2 linked regions of the Saccharomyces cerevisiae S288C genome follow. Changing the gene in region 2 together with the main gene of any one other region gives a genetic interaction. Each region holds a gene or a part of one and is shown on either strand. Other genes may lie near its edges. The genes, in order: SIP3 and DAL80.

Evidence for each region.
Region 1: mutations in DAL80 (region 2) and SIP3 together harm fitness more than expected from each alone (negative genetic interaction), as found in Saccharomyces cerevisiae (one large-scale study listed by BioGRID).

Annotation. Positions count from the first base shown.
Region 1 is NC_001146.8:162,257-166,190, forward strand, and holds the start of SIP3 (Sip3p), read right to left. Parts: upstream 2,065-3,934; coding exon 1-2,064. Other genes in the region: trifunctional dihydropteroate synthetase/dihydrohydroxymethylpterin pyrophosphokinase/dihydroneopterin aldolase FOL1, read left to right, coding at 2,367-3,934. UniProt on the Saccharomyces cerevisiae protein: May be involved in sterol transfer between intracellular membranes.
Region 2 is NC_001143.9:505,005-508,207, forward strand, and holds DAL80 (Dal80p), read left to right. Parts: upstream 1-1,893; coding exon 1,894-2,703; downstream 2,704-3,203. Other genes in the region: SPO14 (phospholipase D), read right to left, coding at 1-1,391; YKR032W (uncharacterized protein), read left to right, coding at 1,513-1,827; DID2 (Did2p), read left to right, coding at 2,935-3,203. UniProt on the Saccharomyces cerevisiae protein: Negative regulator of multiple nitrogen catabolic genes including the allantoin pathway genes.

The sequences.
Region 1 (3,934 bases), on a different chromosome or scaffold from region 2:
CAACTTAGATGCAATAAGCTTATAGTCAGAAAATAAAACGATTGCTTTCATTTGTAGACCGCTGGCATCGTAAAGTTTTAAGGTCTTCTTTGATGATCTGTCGGCTTCTACAGAAACGATTTCAGACAAGCTGATCTTTGTAAGACAGATAAATTCCATAGAATTCATGTAGCAATAAATGTAGTCTTTTGTGCAAAAGCAGGTAGCTGAGAACTTCTGCTTTTTGTTAGGACACCACAATGCTTCAAACTTGAAAAGTAAAAGCTCTTCCGGTAGCTTCTCCAACCTTTGGTCCGGAGAAAATACTAATGACTTGAACTGTAGATCAAGCACTTTCAACTCATTAGAATAATATTGAGGATATATAGTGGAGTTTCTTATTGGAAGCCTTTTGCCATCGATCGTTAATAAAGAGGAGGGTTTCTTTCCCTTTCCTGGCAATATAGTATATTCACTCCAATCGGTCGTGCCCCATATATTCGCAAGAACAGCATTAGGGAACCAGCTACCTTTTGTGAGGAAATTAGACAGAATAGCCAGTTGTGTCATTTTTGTAGATATTGGTGTTGTTGGCATTTGGAACTGAAACACCTTCTCCTCTCCTAAAGTCAAAATATCATATTCAGAGATTGAGCAGTTCAGCGTTTCATACAAGGACTCGGTTTCTTTGTCAAATGTTGTGATTAATTGATCTATGGAGGTGGTTGTACTAGAGGCAAATTCAAAAAACTTGGGAGAAAATCTTTTAAACGCCAGCTCATATTCAAGACTATCATGTTGTATACTCATGACATACTTTTTTGTCGCTTCAAAAGCTATTAACCATGATTTCAAATCTAGATAATTTGAAGTTTGAAAGACCAACGTGATATCCTTTGACATGTTATCATGTGCCTCTGTTACTTTATTACCAAATATTTTTACTTCAAAACAAAATTTTCGATCTTCCTCTGGGTCATAGCGCACATTAGTAAGGAAGACACCAAACTTATCAGTTTCCTCCACGTAGGTCTTCGATGGCGACAAAAGGAACATACCAAAAACTGCATTTTTCAGAAAGCACCATCTTCTCACCCATATTTCCCTGGTAGGCTTTCCAACCTGTGTTTTCATATAAAGCCACCCAGACTTTTCGGGCGATTTTGGAGGCACTTGCGTATCCTTTGATAGCAGCTTCGAGGAATGTATTGATCTTATATTGTAATCACTTGTGTCACTTGACGGCGTAATTCGTTTCAAGGTATACCTATATGCTTGCTTTTTTGCATTACTGATATCAGAATCCAATACTTTCGATCCTTCGATGGAATTTTCTACCCATATTGCGTAATTGTCTAAATACTCATTAATGCAAGGAGATAAATCTATTTTCCTTCCAGAATCTTTCGTTATAAAAATGCTTCTTGACTTTAATACTTTCATTGACTCTAGTATGAATTTATCTAAGCTTAATTTTACTGCTGATATGGCACTTATGAGGTCTAGGGAGGCCTTAAGGTAGTTTTTTTGCACTTCAAATAATTGTAAGGCATCACTTTTGATAGAAGATGGCTCTAAACTGGTTTTTGAAATTCTTATAGCCTGGTAGGATGCCAGCATACTGTCATATTTACCTTGGTAAAAATCGAAATTTTTTCTCACGTTTCTGTAGGGTTCAATTGCAGTAGTCATAAGTTCTAATAGCGCGGTTGAGTGGCTAGAGTCATCACCCTTTACAATTTGCAGTAATTTCATAGAAAAGTCATAATAGTCCTTGTTAAAACTATCAATCAGCCTGGGAGTAAACGATTGGTTACTGACAAAACCGTTGCTCAGCAAGGCTGGAGGAGGTAACAATTGGGATAGGAGAGTTTCCTTTGCTCTTCGAAAATCTTCAAATGACACCTTATATTTCTGATCGAAAAAGTCGACAGTCTTCTCTATCCAATCCTCTAATGCATCCACCCTTGTTTGGAAGAAATTTACGGATGCACGAAAGGAAGGAGAGTCAATTGATGCTTCTTTGAATGCAACCGATATTAGCCTTAACTGCCTCTTTTTGGGATCCCTCCCGTGAACGGACATATTTCAAGTAATGATATATCTCTGCAATATGTCAATTGATCAACAGGTCTACTCATGCAGCTATGTTTTAGTTACACCTAGTAGTTTAAAATTTCACGTGTACTTTCCCTGTTTTGAACGCATTAGCAATAGCGCTGGTGTCGTTGCGCAAATTCATAATAAAAGGAAAATTTGAAAAACTTATGATAAATTGCAAGGTCATCGAAAACAGAAGAACAAGGTTTTTTCCTTTAGTAAATGCAAAATTAGTAAAAGTGATAGCGTCTTCTTTGATTAACAAGTTTCAATCTTTGCCTTTGGCTATGTCAAAGCTATTTTCTACTGTCAATTCTGCAAGACATAGTGTACCACTAGGCGGCATGAGAGATTATGTGCACATTAAGAAACTAGAGATGAATACAGTTCTTGGGCCTGATTCCTGGAATCAATTAATGCCTCAGAAATGTCTACTAAGCTTAGATATGGGTACAGATTTTAGTAAATCTGCGGCTACGGATGATTTGAAATATTCTCTAAATTATGCAGTTATTTCTCGTGATTTGACGAATTTCGTCAGCAAAAAAAAGAATTGGGGTTCTGTTTCTAATTTGGCTAAATCTGTGTCTCAATTTGTTATGGACAAATATTCTGGTGTCGAGTGTCTGAATTTAGAAGTGCAGGCGGATACAACGCATATTAGAAGTGACCACATATCTTGTATTATTCAACAAGAAAGAGGGAATCCAGAATCACAGGAATTTGACGTTGTTAGGATATCTGAGTTAAAAATGTTGACTTTGATTGGTGTTTTCACCTTTGAGAGACTTAAGAAACAGTATGTAACTTTGGATATAAAGTTGCCTTGGCCAAAGAAAGCCGAATTGCCACCGCCAGTGCAAAGCATAATTGATAACGTTGTCAAGTTTGTGGAGGAATCAAATTTCAAGACTGTGGAAGCTCTTGTAGAATCTGTGTCAGCTGTTATTGCCCATAACGAGTATTTTCAAAAGTTTCCAGATTCGCCTTTGGTGGTGAAGGTTTTGAAATTAAACGCAATCACAGCCACAGAAGGTGTTGGTGTAAGCTGTATTAGAGAGCCCAGGGAGATTGCGATGGTAAATATTCCATATCTTTCCTCCATACATGAATCGTCTGATATTAAGTTCCAATTGTCTTCATCACAAAACACTCCTATTGAGGGTAAAAATACATGGAAAAGAGCGTTTTTAGCGTTTGGTTCAAACATTGGGGACCGTTTCAAACACATTCAAATGGCGTTGCAATTATTATCAAGGGAAAAAACGGTTAAATTACGGAATATTTCGTCTATTTTTGAAAGTGAACCAATGTATTTCAAAGATCAAACCCCTTTCATGAATGGGTGTGTTGAGGTGGAGACATTACTGACCCCAAGCGAATTATTAAAATTGTGTAAAAAAATTGAATATGAAGAGTTGCAAAGAGTCAAGCATTTTGATAATGGTCCGAGAACAATAGATCTGGATATTGTTATGTTTTTGAATAGCGCCGGAGAAGATATTATAGTAAATGAACCGGATTTGAATATACCGCATCCTAGAATGCTGGAGAGGACTTTCGTTCTTGAGCCGTTATGTGAATTAATATCCCCCGTTCACCTTCATCCTGTGACAGCGGAACCCATTGTAGACCATTTAAAACAGTTATACGACAAACAGCATGATGAAGATACCTTATGGAAATTAGTTCCATTGCCTTATCGTAGTGGTGTGGAGCCTAGATTTTTGAAATTCAAGACCGCTACAAAACTTGACGAATTTACTGGAGAAACAAACAGAATTACTGTTTCACCTACATATATCATGGCTATCTTCAACGCTACACCAGATTCATTTTCCGATGGAGGTGAGCA
Region 2 (3,203 bases):
TTCAGTAGTCTCAAATACCTTTCTAGCCTCAAATGTATCGGTTGGGAGAAATCGTCAGGTTCGTCAATTAAGTCTTGTAAATGTTTCATTTTGACGTTATCTATATTAAACTCAGATATTTCAGAAGATGATAAAGTTTCTAACGATGTAATGTTGCTGCCATTATCGTTATTGTTATTTTCCGATGTATGAGGAGCTGAGGCTGCAGAGGATGGTTTATTTTCTGCTTTTTTCTCCATTACATTTCTTTCTTTAACCATTTCTTTATAATGGGGGAAATGCGGAAGTTGTAACGAATGATATCTGTTGTTATCACTATAAAGCTTGCTTATAGTGAGTTGTTGGAACGCGACGATTTTCAATTTGTGATGTAGTGATTTGATATCTTTATAACTTCTTATAATAGACCATTTGAGCCTGTCTTCATCAATCCCATATTCCAAGTGTATTCTAAATAAAGAGTTTTCGTTCCTGCTATACATAAATTCCGCCACATTCGAAGAAATGCTTATAATGCTGGAGCTCCTTGGAATAGAGGGTCTCCTATCAGAATTCTCGCCAGTATTGTTGTTGTTGTTACCACGATGGTTATGGTTGCTATTGGTAATATCCAAAATGTTGTTGTCATTTTTCAAGGGAGACACTCTTACATCTAGTTTAGCTAATAGCAGAGGAGCCCTTCTCTTCCCATGTTCGTCTCTCAGAAATTGCGTGCTTGCGAACAATGAGGCCGGGCATCCTGCCAATAACGAATCTAATAAATCAGAGGCTAGTCTTTGTGTGTACAAATCTTCTTCGTTTACTTGTTGATGCTGGTGCTGGTTATGACGATGGCCGCTTCCAGCCGGTGTAGGAGAATTTACGCTGGATTTCAGTCTACCAATAGCAGAGATTTTCTTAAAAGCGTGGCCAAACTCTTTCTTCCAGCCATTGAACTGCTGTTGGGTGTAAGCTACAGAAGAAGAACGCCTTTGAGGGGCTCTTTCTTCCTCTCTTTTAGAATTCCGCTTAGAATGAACATTATTGTTACTGCTATGGAGATTGTTGTAGAGCCGGTGCATATTTTCCTCATCAGAACCTCGACGAGGATCATGTTCATTAGAGTGCATAATATGGTCTAATGAGTGGTTCGGTGACACATCACTCAGGTTTCTATCTACAAAGGATTTGGGCAATGCATGCTTCCTCTCCGCCTCCTTGCCGTTGGGAGTTCTTCGTTTTTCTCTTTGTAAACTGCTAGTCAGATTGCCATTCTCAGGTAATTGCCGCAATACTTCTTGGTTTTCTAACTCATCTGGTCTCGAATTTACTCTATCTACTTCTTCAGTCACCGATCTATCTGCCTGAGGTGGAGCGAAGTGAGTTCCAGACGCTGTTGACACGTTAGACATCACCCTTGTTTATCTATCCTACCTTTTCTTCTTGCGTACGTGCCTCTCAATGCGTCGTGTGAATTATCAGTGACCGGTCGTGCCTATAATGTCCTGCTAATTTCCCACTAAATCTTTCCCCATGGCGTATTCATCGTTATGTTTGTGTCTTTTGTTCAACCCAAAGGGCTGTAGCAATCTTCACCCGTTTGTCGTTGATAACGAGTTTCCACCTTATCACTTATCACTAGTGCTAATCAAACAGCAAAGAATGCTTGATAGAAACCGATCCTGGGCTTATCTCGCTGCATTGTGGCGGCATCCCTGGACTGTAATCAGCAAGTGTTGCTTAGTATATATATACATCCAGCGTCAGCTTGAATTTGGATACAGTTACTGTTTTTTCGATTTTCTCTTGGTTATTCTTTCTGAGACAGTAGTAATTTTGTATTACTGAGCGGGATATTGTTTATCTGCCGTCATACTATATTACATTATATTATATCATATTATATATAAGAGAATGGTGCTTAGTGATTCGTTGAAGCTGCCCTCGCCTACACTTTCAGCTGCTGCTGGAGTGGATGATTGTGACGGAGAGGACCACCCCACGTGCCAGAATTGTTTCACTGTCAAAACGCCCCTATGGAGAAGAGATGAACACGGTACTGTTCTCTGTAATGCATGTGGCCTCTTCCTGAAGTTGCACGGGGAACCAAGGCCTATCAGCTTGAAGACGGACACCATTAAGTCAAGAAATAGGAAAAAGCTGAATAACAACAATGTGAACACTAATGCCAATACCCATTCTAACGACCCAAATAAAATATTCAAGAGAAAGAAGAGACTGCTTACAACTGGTGGTGGTTCATTACCTACGAATAATCCGAAGGTTTCTATTCTGGAAAAGTTTATGGTGAGCGGGTCCATTAAGCCACTGTTAAAACCAAAGGAAACCGTTCCCAACACAAAGGAGTGCTCCACGCAGCGGGGAAAATTTTCTTTGGACCCCTGCGAACCTAGTGGGAAAAACTACCTCTATCAGATCAACGGTTCAGATATATACACGTCAAATATAGAGCTGACAAGGCTGCCTAATTTGTCAACATTATTAGAACCCTCACCTTTTTCAGATTCCGCTGTACCAGAAATAGAACTAACTTGGAAGCTACATAATGAGGAGGAGGTAATCAAATTGAAGACCAAGATAAGCGAATTGGAGTTGGTGACAGACCTATACAAAAAGCACATATTCCAACTGAACGAAAAATGCAAGCAACTGGAAGTGGAACTACACTCCAGAGCTTCAGTACAATCTCACCCACAACATTAAGAAAGGATGTAGCGTTCATGACAGTATAAATATAACAGGATATAGTATATAAAATTTAATATGATTTAGTGACACTTATTTTTACGCGAACGGGTAACACACTGCCATTTATCTGGTGCTGGAAAATTGCCCCTAAAGAAATGATAAGAATGAAAACGAATCAATGTGAAAGCAGTTTGATGAGATGTGAGCTACTTTGAAAGTATAGGAAGTCAGACATCGCACTGAGAAATGTCACGTAATTCTGCAGCAGGTTTGGAAAACACTCTTTTCCAACTAAAGTTTACATCAAAACAATTACAAAAGCAAGCCAATAAAGCCTCAAAGGAAGAAAAACAGGAAACTAATAAGCTCAAACGTGCTCTTAATGAAAATGAAGATATATCTCGTATATATGCATCCAATGCTATAAGAAAGAAAAATGAAAGATTACAACTGTTGAAGTTGGCATCACGGGTGGATTCGGTCGCATCAAGGGTACAAACCGCCGTCACGATGAG